Linked DNA regions of Drosophila melanogaster. The protein of the gene in region 1 binds, or shares a complex with, the protein of each later gene. Each region holds a gene or a part of one and is shown in the gene's direction. Other genes may lie near its edges.

Region 1 (3,600 bases):
GATCGCTCCTGAACCGTTCGCGAATCGCTGCTACACTTGCGCGTGCGCGACGAGACTGGCGAGCTCTTGTCCAGGTCGCTGAATCGTTCCACCTTTATGGGTCGGTGGCTTTCCACGTCCTTCTTCTTCTTGCGGACCTTCTTGGAGACCTCCGTGGATGTCGTCGTGTTGCTGGCCACCGTATCGTCCGGTCGCGCTGCCTCCGTTGTTACAGAGGAGACGGTGGTCACATTTGCCGTGGAGACCGCATTGGTTAACGGGGGCACTGCTTCGGTACTGAGTTTCTCGCGCTTTACCTTCACGCGGAGTGTCTTCGTGGTGTTCACGTCCTCTGTGACTGAGGCCTCCTCCGGAGGCTTTTGCTGCTCAGCTGTTTCTGCTGCTGGCTCTTCTAGTTCCGGCTCCGCTAGTTTATTTTCCTCTAACGCCTGTGCACTGGTGAAGCTGTTAAACTGGGAGACTCGCTGCTCGCTCTCAACCTTGACCTTTACGAGCTCCTCGCTGCTGGGCCGCCGCATCTTACGGTTGAGTGAGGGCTCCTTGAGTAATTTCTCGGTCTTCAGCTTAGCGGCTCGCTGTGGCCTTCCGGAGCCGAGGGTGGTGTCCGCCGAGACGGGCACAGGCGGAGGCGGCATCAGCGAGGCCGTGGAGTTGTGCTCGTCCTCGGCGATAGCCAGCAACTGGGAGTTGCTGACCCGAGTGCTTTGACGGGCCGACGTGTTGTTGGCCGTGGCGTCTGGAGCTGCTCAAATGGAATATCACAGGGGTTGTTGGTCGTTAATGCTTTAAAATGGCCAGGATACTCACCCTCGGGCTCATTCTGATCCTCGGCCAGTGAGGTGAGTCGCTTGGGGCGCTTTTTCGTTTGCTGCGGCGTCACCGAAGAGTTCTCCTGACTCTTCGCTGCCGGAGCACTGTCCCTCGGTTTGGCCTCCGCCTCCGGCTGGCCTGTGCCGTAGAAGAGGTGGTCCAGCTCCTCAAAGTGGGCCTAAAAAACACATATGACGCCATGTTGACAGTGTCGGAATTTCGTCTCCTGATCCTGGCTTACCTTGCGCAGGACCTCGAGCTCCCTGCGCAGGTCCGAAAGCGAGCCCAGCACGCCCAAGATGTCCTCCATATCTAGCGACTGTATCTGACAAACTGCAAATCCGGATTCGGTTCCTTCGATTTTATCGTTTTTTTCAAATGGCGGCAATTGCGACGCGCGTCAGCATTTGATAACATGCCTTTAATTGTGCACTGTTGACAGTTAACAGCTCGTCGGGTGCTGTAAGGCGCATTTATGCCTCTGCTTTCCAACACTGCACGGGCGATAAAGTTCCCGCGCAAAATGAAAAACACAACCAAAACTTGTTTTTTGAGTGAATATTGGGAGATATTTATTTGAATTCTTTAAAATAATATTATTGGGTTATTTAAATAGTTACGTACTGGATTTCTAGCCCTGTAAATTTTGAAAGTATAACATTAGGTGAACCAGTTCCAATACGTTCCCGCCACTACCATCTCTAGAAAGCAGTGCTGCACGGCTCCCCAAAAAACATATTGTAAACAAATTTGAGGGAAAATGGTAAGGGAAAGAACAAAAAGGAACATTTAAATTATAAATATAGATTACGGAAGAGAATTAATTTGCGTAAAGGACCGGAAATATTTCAAACAAGTTTCAGCAAACGTCCAGTGCTGCACAAGCACTTCCGACGATAGTATCGCCATGGCGAGCTGACCAGCAAGCCCATCTCTAGCACATTTGTTAAAAAATTTGCAACAAGCCAACGAAAATCGACCAGGAACGGTGGACAGCCAAAACCGCGCGCTCTGCGACGACCACCGTGGGATGCACATACGTATGCGCAGCCGTGCCGCGGAGTAGACACAGTGCCCGCGATCCGCGACCAGCGAACCGCCAAACCCCGAGAAGCCAGCTGCAGCAGATCCACAGATCGCGCCGCAGATCCAGATCATGGGCCTCGACTTCGACGCAGTGGAATACTGCAAAGGGGTGAAGACCCAGCAGTCCCAGCCGCCTTTCGCCTGTCCCGTCCGCGGCTGCGACCGCAGCTACAAGACCATCATGGGTCTGCAATACCATCTTATGAAGTACGACCACGACAACCCACAGCCGCTCACGCCCGTGCTGACTCCGAGCCGCAAGAAGGCGCGCTCACGCTCCGGCGGCCACCACTCCACGCCTCGTCCGCACAAGGATCACCCCACGCCGGGTGGCGGTGGAGCTGAGGCCAGAAACGGCTGCTCCTCGGCCAGCGCAGGAGGTGGATCGGCGAGCGGAGTCAGCGCCCGGCAGTACGCCAATCCAGAGTCACTGGTGTCCTACAACGAGGAGGAGGCCACGGTGACGTTTAACTTGGACGGGAAGAGCGTGCGCCTGGGCATCGACGACGCCTTGCCGCTCGTAGAGGACGAAGAGTTCGCCGCCCTAGTGGCCAGGGGCTGTATTCTGAATGCCGACGCACCACCGCTGGAGGAGAACGCGCCCTGGGCAAGGGTCCAGGTGCCCGTGGCCAGGGTGGCCGAGATTCCGGACTACCGAGTGTCCGACGCCCCGCCACGGCCGCTGGCCTACTATCGCTTCATCGAAAAGTCCCTGGAGGAGCTGGACGGGGAGGTGGAGTACGACGTTGACGAGGAGGACTCCGCCTGGCTGGAGCACATGAACGAGGAGCGCCAGCGACTCGGCCTGAACGCCGTGGGCATCGACACGATGGAGCTGCTGATGGACCGGCTGGAGAAGGAGTCGCACTTCCAGGCGGCGGCCAACGGCACACCCACAGGCGTCGAGGTGGACGACGACGCAGTCTGCTGCATTTGCCTCGACGGCGAGTGCCAAAACACCAACGTGATACTTTTCTGCGACATGTGCAACCTGGCGGTACACCAGGACTGCTACGGTGTCCCCTATATCCCGGAGGGCCAGTGGCTGTGCCGCCGATGCTTGCAGTCACCCAGTAAGCCTGTGAACTGTGTGCTCTGTCCCAATGCGGGCGGCGCATTCAAGCAGACGGACCACGGGCAGTGGGCGCACGTGGTGTGTGCGCTTTGGATACCGGAAGTGCGGTTCGCCAACACCGTCTTTCTGGAGCCAATAGGTGCGTAGCTCGATCTCCCAGTTTCTTTGATCCCAGTTCCAAATAACATCTGAGTTCTTTTTATAGATTCAATTGAGACCATTCCCCCCGCTCGTTGGCGACTCACCTGCTACGTGTGCAAGGAGAAGGGCTTGGGAGCCTGCATCCAGTGCCATCGGAACAGCTGCTACGCCGCCTTCCACGTTACATGCGCACAGCAAGCGGGCCTCTACATGACCATGGACACGGTTAAGGACGGGCACAACGATTCGTCCATGCATGTTCAGAAGTTTGCCTACTGCCACGCCCACACGCCGGCCGACGCCAAGCTCAAGATGAACGTGCCTGACTTCGAGGACACGCGTCACAAGATGAAGGAGGCGCGCAAGGCGTTGGCCAAGAAGCGCTCCACAGCGCCCGTGGTGCTGATTCCGACTATTCCGCCGGACCGCGTTCAGGAGATAGCAACAATGGTTACGATGCAGCGCAAGAAAGAGTTCCTTGACCGCAT
Region 2 (10,587 bases), on another chromosome or scaffold:
CATCTTTTTCTATGCGAACCTTTTTTCCTTTCTCCCCTTCCTCCCTAACTTCCTTTTGGGTTTCCCCTCGATTTTGAAAACCTCACTGTCGTCTGTCAATTGTTGCCCACTTTGTATGCTGTAACAGGAGCGTAATAAACACTCGCCTAACGGGGCTTTTCTTTATTTTCGCCAGAGAGTGTGCAACTTCAATTGCCACAAAGCAAAGGCAGCCACGAAAGCAAGCTGCAACAACGAGAAAAGCCAGAACGAACGGCTGGAAAAGCCAGAGAACCGATCGCTAAGTGAAATGCTGCAGCGAAGTGCATTATAACCGTACATTTTGCACACAGACACAAACACACACGCACACACATACCCACTTGCATGGGAGTAATGCAATTTTCCACTTTTTTCTCTTAACGCGGCTGGAATACGGATTCTATTTGCCTTGAGCTGCGACACGAAAACTAAGTGTAGTTTTGGTGGTGATTCAATTTTTAAAATTCGAAATTCAATTTAAATGGCTTTAACTTTAAAATATTCATAAAAATATTCAAGGGTTAGATTAAGCAATATAATAATGACGCTAATGTATCTCGCTTAAAATAATTTTTAATTCTTTATATTACTATTATACTAATACTACTATACTATTTAAAAACGGTTTTTGTGTTGATAATAAAGGAGTCTAGGAAATTCGAGGTGCTGGTTCTCGAACCTTTGGTTTATAATAATGAATAAATTTCTTAAGCTGAGGTTTAAAAAAAATTGAGTAAAAACGTGGTACACAAGTGTAAATTTTTATTTTTAAATATGAATATATTATGAGCTATGTATTGGTGTTTTCAAAATAGCGAAAATGTTGGAAATATAGAAAACATTCTCCTGAATTTCTAGCAGCAACTTCTTTTGCTTGCTCTTTGCGTTAGAAGTTTGCCATAAAGTTTAGCGAATTTGATTTTGGACTGCAAGAGAAAGCAGTTTTTTTCGCTTCTTTCTTTCTGCAACGACTGCAACTGCAACTGCGCCACCAATACCAATAGACCATCGGATTTTACGCTGCGCATGCGCAACTCTGTTAGAATGCAATTTTCTGTTTCGCTTCTCTTTCTCCGCTAATGTGTGTGTTTGTGTGTGTTCGAGTGTCTGTGTTTGAACTTTGAAAAGTGGGTGAATGTACAGTAATGTTTGCTGCATGCTCAATTGCAATGCTGCAAGCAAAGAACAGCAACAAAACGTGGCAAATTCGTGATGTTCTGTCAGGGCCAAATGCGGCTAGGGAAAAAGCCAAAAGGTACAGGGCCACAGAAGGAAATGATTTAGGGCCGCAGGGGAAAATATTCTCCCAAGAAGATAATCGCAATGACCAAAAATAAGTTTGAACATGAAAGGTATTATTTTATACTAACAATCCATTATATTTTGAGATGCTCAAAACATTTAATATCGTTCTTTATTTCTTAAAATAAAATATTTGCATGGTGTCTTAATCATACCTACTTTTCTAATCATTAGCATTATAGATTTCGTAAAAAAAGTAATCTTTACATGCTTTACTAAGTATAATCAAAGAGGATAACTGCTCGATATGACTGTTGCTGAATTTATTAAAAGTAAAAACATCTTTTAACGTTTTCTTATGGGTACTTGGAATCATTAATCCTATTTATTTAGTTAATAAGAAAGTTATAGGTTCGCTAATATATTGCACTATATATGTATGTATTTCACTCGCTCGTTGTATTTATTATGGCCAGTTGTTGCGTTTGTCTTCTGAACGGGTGTTGAAGGCCACGTTAATCTTGAACTGTTTTATAAATTGGCACACTTATGCAAAGTCAACGACTCGTCGTCGCTGCTTTCGTCTCTCTATCTCTCCTCCTCTGTCGCCTCCTTCATCACTTGCTGCTTCCTCTGTCCGCAAAACAGTTAGCTTACTTCGTCCAGCTTCGTGTGAAAAGCCGAGAGCCGAGCTCAGACTCTGTGTGGCTCTGTTTGCGAGTGTGTGTGTGTGTTGCGTTGCATAACTTTCATGCCAACGCGCAGGCAGCATTAAAACGGAGCGCCACGAAAGTTCATTCGCCTCGTGCACTCCATTCGCCCCGTCTCTTTCTCTTTCTCCCCCGCCCACTCTCTCTTAGCCGTCTGGCTCTCTGTTAACTGATTCTCAGCCTCTTGGAGGCCAACGCACAGTTGCGGTCAAGATAATAGGAGTTATAACTTTGATTATTTCTGTTGAGCATTTTATAGGTTAATTACTACACTTTAATTTCTTTTATGATATTTTAATTTGTATGTAAGATTTCAATTATTGTCACTAAATTGAACTTCAACTTTTTTTTAACTTTTTGTAGCCACAATTAAATTATATACTTGTGGTCTTGACTGTCGCTAGACTGATTTGCTCTTTTTACTGAGCTGGGCTTTCGTTTCGGTTTTGTTGGCATTGTTGTATTTGCCATTGGTGCGCAGCTTGAAAAAGTTTTTGGTGTGTGCCTTGCAGTGTTGTCTCTTGAAAAAGGAATGTTTGTTGTTTGTCAGCGGCGACGTTATTGGGTGAATGTGTTTTTGGTTTTGGGTAGAAAAGAGAGTGAGGGGATACGATGCTGGAGACGATGACGATGTCGTCGATCTGTGCAGCATTGTTAAAGGTCAGTTCTCTTACCTAACTTTGATTGCACATTTTTCGGTTTTTATTTTATTTTTCGTCGAAACGTTTGCGTTTATGCGTTATTTGTTGGTCAACAGCTAAAAGGGTTCGGTGAGCCTAAGAGATGGGTAAAAAAAATATTAGTTTGACAAGGGCAATATCCAAAAGGTGCGAAATACAAACAGAATCTCAAGTAGCCATTAAACAATTTTGAAGGAAGTTATTAAAATCATTCAAAGGCTAAAGAGGTAAACGACATCAAAGACGAACAGAGGAGAAATGGTATTCCCTTGAATGAAAATATTTTATAAATTACGAGACTATTTATAAACGAGTTCTTCCTAAGTGCATAAAACTATACTTTTTAGCTGCAATTGATTCATAGGACCAAGCAAACAAAGGAAGTATAAAAAACTCATACATTTTAAGAGAGTAAGAACAAATAGCTAGCTTATAGTCAACATATGCGGCCACAAAAAGCAAAAACATAGTTTCAGGAACTCACACAAGAGGTGTATTCTATTCATTGCATGTTATAAAGCATGCGAAAAGTGCAACGACTAGAAAAAGCTTTCAAATCGCTTAGAACAAATCAAAAATCTGAAATGCATTCGTGCCCACACACAAAAGAGCAACAACAAAAGCACCACGAGTGCAAATTGTGACGCCCCACTGAAACGCACTCACACACATACATAACCGAAGCGAGCAAGCGAGAGAGCGCCACAATGGCCGCGACATTCAACTTGAACTTTTTGCGCACCTGCTCTCTCGCTCGCTCGCACGTAGAAAATAATCAAGATCAAGTTTCTTCCGGCATTTTGCACATTGCTGCAACAAAAACTAGAGCTTTGCACACAGAGAGCCACTGGGAATGAGAGCGAAGAAGAGAGCAAGCTTAGAAAGCTCTGCATTTGCATGTGCATTGCATGTGTGTGGATGCATAGCAAGTGCATTTCTGTTATCTCGGCTATGATGTCACTAATGCCACCGATTGGCCTACAAGGGTTAATCCCAAATATTGTATATAAAATAGTTTTTAAAGCAAATATGTAATTAAATAAAAATAAAAATTAAGATATTAAAAGTGTATTTCCCATTCTTATGGCTTATTGACATTTCACGAGTTGTCAATTGCTTTTGGCGTTTTTTTTTACGCAAAAGTTTATTTTAATTCCTATATATTCGTATATCAAAAGTTTTTTTAACGACTCTGCGTATTGTTGAGTACTTTATCATTAATAGAAAGTACATCCTTTTTGATCCCCCAACTAAACCCATTCAGAATTAGTGCAATGCGCACATCTGGTTCTTAAATTTAATTAAAAATATGCTACTTGAAAATATTGCTCTTGCTGAACGTTTCATCTTGCAGTTTTCGCTATCTGCCCAAAATGAAGCAGACTCATTTTCACTCGCTTGGCGTTGGGAAAGCGCCGGCTCGGCCTATGTATGCTATATGTGAAATTCTCGGAAAAGTCGAAAACACACTAAGCGGAGTGCAACAACAACGTCATCGTTGCAAGCATTGAACTCGATTTTGTTTTCATTGCCGCCTGAATTTCTAAAACGCAGCTAATTAGTCGAGAGTGTTTGTGTTGCTGCTGCTGCCGCAGTTGTTGCACTTGCAACACTGCTGCTTCTTTAGCTGTGTTCCACTTTTCTGGCAGTTTTCCACTTTTCCACCGGCCAATGCTGCGACTGCTGCAGATTTCACACGCGGCCAGGCAATTCATCATAAAAATTATAGTAAGCTGCCATCCAATGGCAGCACTGACCAAAAACAGTTGCAGTAAGCAACAAACTAAAAACTAAGTTAAAAAATATATGTATATTAATAAAAATGTATCGAAGAAGTTACAAATACATTAAGAAGTAACTAACTAACGTATCTTTATTGACAGCCACAATAAACTTCTAAATATTTTTCCCAGTGTAAACCAGAAGAAGGTGGCTTAAGACGATCGAACGTCAGAGTTTTCAGTTGGCAGATGTTTGCTTAAAACCAAATATAAATAAGTTTTTCCAAGTCTAAGTCCAGGCCGCGCCTTGTGTGTTTGTTTAAATAAAATGAAAGTTTTTTTGCTGCACTTTTTGTTGTTTCGCGAATAAGCGCGCGCCAATGTTTGACATACATTGAATAGACTGCAGTCTGTCAGTCAGTCGGTCACTTAGCCACTGAGCCAGTTAGTCACCTAGTCACTAAGTCGATTGTGTTAGTGGAACACGACGGAATGGCAGACTTTGCTTTAGTCAGCGACTTGCAACGGTCGTTGCCGTTTCGCTTTTGCTGCCCGCTGCATTATGATTTCATTTTCTAATCGAGTTCGTCTTCATCCGCAGCCTCACTTTATATTGCTTTCCTATAGTCAGCGCGAAAGGCGATGTGCTGCAGAAATAAAATCACGCATACGCCGCGTATGACGAAAGTGAAATAGGCGCGACGACGAAGGCCCATAAAAAGCGGTAGCCAAAATAGAGCCAAGTAAAAGAGAAAGAGTAGGCGGCAAGAGAGCGAAAGGCGGAAAAAGAGGAAAGAGGGTTCGGAAAGAAATAGAGAGCTAGAACGGTAGCTTCACTTTTTTTCGGCAGTTCAACAAACTTTGAAACGAACTTGGGTCAACAAACTATGCAAGACCCACGGGGAGATCATTAGAAGATCACCATCAAAAAGACGATGATGATGGCGCTACAGCTGAACTGAATCTTTTGTCCGTGGTATACGCATAAATAAAAATAACAAGACGAGAGGTCAATGGCAGCCACACTGGCTTCAAAATGCAAAGTGGTGAAGGGGCAAGCACTGTTAAATAAAATCTAAGAAAATGTGAAAAAAAACATATGGATCTAATAAGAAAAATCTTACAAAAATAAATGGTCATCAAGTTTTGTAACTGAGTTCTTTGACCAGTTTTTTTTTTTCCTGGGCTATTTTTTGATTTCGGCAGTCCTATTCACTTACAAAAGTGAATAAATGCAGTATTAACAAACTTTCAATGGATTTATTATGAAATAACTTTGAATTTTAAGTGCAGAAACTAACATTTAAAGAATCTATAAAACATATACACAAATAATATAAGACTTATTCATTCAAACTAATAGTTTATAAATTAGCTTGTTAAAGAAAAACGACAACGCCACCTATGCAATTAGGTTAAGAACTAGCATGCATATTTCAGCAAAGACATAAACCGATAGTCGGAACAGATATCCGTAAATCGATTAATTGTAATTACTTTTTATCAATATCCGGTCACATTGTCCAAAACAAAATATAAATTTGTTGAAATTCGAGCATTTTCTGAAAATATGAGCTCGCCAACGAGTAAAAATGTCAGCGAAACGAACGGGAACAAGCCAAAGAAGTCGGCCAAAACGAGCTCGAATACGAAAGGCGGCTCCATGGACACTCGCGCCGAGTTGGCGGACCTCATCAAGAAGAAGGCCGAAACATCGGTGAGACACAATATAAACAAACCCGAAATCGCAGCACTTTATCATTTTTTTGTTGCATAAATGACAGGAACAACTGGCCAATCTGGAGCGACAGATCTACGCCTTCGAGGGCTCCTACCTAGAGGACACGCAGTTGTGCGGAAACATCATCCGAGGCTGGGAGCGCTATCTGACCTCCAACAAGGCCACCAACTCCAAGGCCGACAAGCGGAATCGCAAGTTCAAGGAGGCCGAGCGCCTGTTCTCCAAGTCCAGCATCACCTCCATGGCTATATGCAATCGTAAGTGGGGGATAATTCATACTGTGTCATTCGCTTGTGTAATCGATCTAGGCTTTATGCCCAGAAGGGTGTAAATTGATACGCTTTAGTTGCCATACATGAGTATGTTTATTCGCCTTTAGCTGAGCGCGCCAGCGAATCGGATTCCATCACAAATGAAGACTCCAGCGACAATCAGATCTCAATCAATCAGAACACCACAACGGCCCACGACGGAACCACGACAATCAAGAGCACACCGAAAGACGAAAAGGGTAAGGCAGCACAGCACATTGAGATTCAACTTTAGCGCTTTTCTCCAGAAAAGTATATATGTTTAATTACACCTTTTTATTTACAGATTCACCCTCGCATCGCAATGAGGGCAGCGTAGTGAGCGGAATGGTGTCTGGATCTACGAACAGTGGAGGGAACAAGGATCTCCTCGGCACACCCACTTCGAATACAAAGAGCAAACTATCCACGAACTCCAGTGCGACAGCGAAGAAAAGCGGTCACATAAACAAGAAGATTCGACATCGATGATAACTGCTACCGTGTAATCCGCATCTGATAAAGCACTATTTACCTTCAAAGTTTTTAAATTAAAATTTGTACATGAAATAAAGCGAATGTAGATTTACAAACTTAGTTTATTTCCATACAAATGTCTTCTTTCTACATTTATCACTTCAATATTTAAAGGCAACTACTTTCAGCATCGCGTCATACTTTTGACTCATAGTTTTGATAGACATACAGGGTTTTTCCTCGGCTCAAAGTTAAGTTTGCAATAGTTTGATTAGGAAATGATGAGTAAAATATATTGTGGCACACTATAGTCGATTTTCTATAGTCGATGCACGTCATATAAAGAAAAATATTCATACATTTTGTGATTAAATGAATTCTATATAGAATGTAGAATGAAGTGAAATATATTCATACATTTTGTGAGAAAAAAAGTTATACTTTACTATTAAATTGATTAATTCGAAGAGAAGAAAATACTATGTCATGTTAAAATGCCTTTTTGTTTGAGAAATGGATTCAATCGTACTTTGAGTTGCAGATCTACTAAAGGCTCTCTGTTTGGGAAATATTCTGAAAAGAGACATTTTAGGGAACTGGTTACCCGAACTATGAACTATAAGACTTACTGTTTCTTGAATAGTACAAGAGTTTTGCGCCGCAGAATGAATAGCACAAATATAATGACGCCTTGGGACCAGTTGAAGTAGTCAGCTACCAGAAAGATATTGACCCACAGTTTCTCGCGTTGCACCAAGTAGGAGAATATCTCAAAGCTCCACGACATCCCCATCACAGTGAAGAGCAGCAGAAATTGTGTGTAACTGTAACGAATTGATAATATTTATCTTAAACTGACATTTTCAACTATTATAATTGATATACTTCTGTTTGTCCGAATTCAGCTTCTGTATTCTACCTTCATTGCGAGCAATCTTTCGAAGAGTCCTCTTGGAATCTATTATGTGTTTAGCCGTCAGAACAAACATAGTTATGTTGAAGAGAATCAGGAGCACCATCGGTCCATAGAAGTACACCATTGCAGACCAGCTTTTAGCTGAGGGTGGAAAGAAAAACATTGGTGAGCTGGTACCACAAGCCGGATACAAAACAGAACCCACTATAGATCCAGCAATGCCCTTCGTCGCCCACGCGAGGCTGCCACTCCTCGTTGTTCACAACGTTATCAGCCAGATAGGTGACTCCGGTCAAGGCCAAAGGCATTGCCCAGGCGAAGCAGCTGTATAGCAGAAACGCACGTTCTGACCGAATGTTCATCGAGGCACAGGGATTGGTAAGACATTTCCAATAGTGCCGACTGATGATAGATAGCCAAAAGAACGCAGCCATGACGAAAAAGTATCCCAAGAAACCTGTCGTAAATGGTCAATGGTTTGTCAAGTTGTGTTGAAATGCATCCCCTCTAAGCTAACCTGCTGCTTTACAGAAATCGAGCGATAACTCCCACAGATCAAGGAGTAGGAACAGGTATCCGAAAAATAGGCACATCATGTAACAGATGAAACACTTGCCCTCCAAATTCATTAGCTTCTTAACGCACAGGTACACGGCGATGGTAAGAACCAAGCATATCAACGATGTGATCATCACTATGGAAATAGGAAAGATATAGAACTGGGAGCTACCATGCAAGCAATGGGCATCATCTTACCAACGGTCTGTCCCGTTCTGGATGGCAGTATCAAGCAGTTGTGGGGTATAATGCGAATGGAGTTGTTGTTACCTTCGCCGAATGTTCGGTGCTGCAGACAGTACTCCGACTTGTCCAAATACACTTGATCGTAGTGGCGCAGCAATCTTCCATTCTGCAGAGAGCCAAAGCATAAATAAATCCTGCCCAAAAATGCTTATTTTTCGAGCAGCCATACCTCGAACAAGGTGTACTCATCCATTATATCCCGGTTGTCTAGGTAAAACATATCATCGCAGGGCTTTGGCAGATCCCACTGCACCATGAGCTCCTTCTTATAGTGCCTTTGCACCACTGATCCGTCGTCCAGGGTCACATTTAGCATGGGGTCCAGTAATTCGTTCTCCTCCGTCGTCATGTTGGCGTAGCATTCGCCCATATCCATTATGTGGTCATGTGGGCAGCAAAACCTGACGCAAGTCCTTAGCTTGCACACACATCCTCTCACGTGACTTGGCACCTGCTCCTTATCTCCATTCGCCAGAAGCTTGAATTCATACTTGGCCGTCAAATGGGCGGGAATAAGTAATCCCTCGTAGAGGTATGATCCATTCGAGAGCCTCTGGCCTTCCGAGATATCAACGGTATCATAGAAACTGCAGTCGGCAATCTCAGCACTCGAAGATTGCAGATTCAGCAAGAAATATATTAGGATCGATGCAGAAAGTAACATTTTTGAACTAGCAATCATATAGTTAGCTGGACATTCTTTAAATATTACTTAAATAAATAAGAATGTAGTGGTACTACAAAATAGCAGCGACTTCACTTTGCGGATGCTGTTTTACGATTGGCACAAACTAACTGGGAAAGCGTTATGAAAAGGGAATGTAAAAATTATTATTTTGATAAAAAAGGCTTATCGGACATTCCAATTCGTTGCTCATTTCTGAGCCATCTTTTTTTCCTACTGAGCGAGGGTTGATAAATTATGTATAAAACTTAAATTATGTATGTATTATTCAAGCAACTGCTTAGGTAAACTATTCTTTTTCTTTTATTCTTTTTTTTTTACATATTAACAATAGTATTACATAAGCTTATTTATATAAATAAATCATTTAAAAAACACAATTTTTAACTTTTCAAAAGTAATGCAGCTTATCAGTTTTCTGTAGCATAAAATAAAATATAAATGGAATTTTAAGTATTTGGTACTGACTGTAGGTTCCTTAAAAACTATTTGTGAGATACATTCGAATAGCCCGCCAAGGTGATTCCGCTATGCGATAGTTGGTATTTTTGTAACGTTTTTCCCATCGATACGTTCCCAGTCACGTTTTCGTTGGCATTAGAAGTGGAGAAACATCGATGTTGGCGAACATCCATGTTTTCGATGTCTTTGGCAAAAAACAAATAAATTGATCTTTAAAAAAAAAACTTACATTTCAGATATTTATCCATGTCTTCCAAGACACCAGCCTACACCACCGGCGAGTCACAATAAATATGCAATATGCTATTAATAATTGTATTAGAAAATATGGAAATTAATTTAGACTTACAATTTACACACTTTGCTGTTTCTATGCGCTGAAAACATCGACGATTCCTCGAAAAACATCGACGTTTTTGATTTTTCGAAAACATCGATGACATCGATGTTGGCATCGATGTTTCTCCACCTCTAAGATACAACCCTAAAATATTTCTGCTGTCGGCAAATCTGAGTGTTTGCCACAAAACTGTTTGAAAACGCAATCCCAGCGAGGGCAACCGAATCAGGCCGGCAGAGCGAGGTCACCAGGAAGACGCGCAAACGAGGTCACCACCTGCACAAGACACAATGGGCAGCAGCGCCACGCAAACCACGGTGCCGTTCCGTGCAATTTGTTTATGTCTGCTGATCGCCAGCTGCTACGTGTCGCTCTCCCAGGCAGATGAGCACAATCACAAGGTGAGTCCGGATGCCACATCCCTCGAGCACCGAATACATGATCCACTTTGCCACGCAGTACAATGACCGGGAGGAGGTGGTACTGTGGATGAACACG

What was found.
Region 2: Br140 (region 1) and Eaf6 share a complex: the UniProt entries of both Drosophila melanogaster proteins name them as parts of the enok complex.

The regions. Positions count from the first base shown.
Region 1 is NT_033778.4:7,276,249-7,279,848, reverse strand, and holds the start of Br140 (Bromodomain-containing protein, 140kD), read left to right. Parts: upstream 1-1,747; 5' UTR 1,748-1,966; coding exon 1,967-3,110; intron 3,111-3,176; coding exon 3,177-3,600. Other genes in the region: Incenp (inner centromere protein), read right to left, coding at 1-742, 808-988, 1,052-1,120. UniProt on the Drosophila melanogaster protein: Scaffold subunit of the histone acetyltransferase (HAT) Enok complex which has histone H3 acetyltransferase activity.
Region 2 is NT_037436.4:5,603,591-5,614,177, reverse strand, and holds Eaf6 (Esa1-associated factor 6), read left to right. Parts: upstream 1-5,877; 5' UTR 5,878-5,944; coding exon 5,945-6,091; intron 6,092-6,158; coding exon 6,159-6,372; intron 6,373-6,494; coding exon 6,495-6,626; intron 6,627-6,712; coding exon 6,713-6,897; 3' UTR 6,898-7,016; downstream 7,017-10,587. Other genes in the region: mthl2 (methuselah-like 2), read right to left, coding at 7,362-7,455, 7,512-7,706, 7,768-7,939, 8,004-8,255, 8,316-8,492, 8,555-8,708, 8,772-9,284; TM9SF3 (transmembrane 9 superfamily protein member 3), read left to right, coding at 10,380-10,490, 10,549-10,587. UniProt on the Drosophila melanogaster protein: Component of the Enok complex which has a histone H3 acetyltransferase activity. Might be involved in transcriptional activation of selected genes.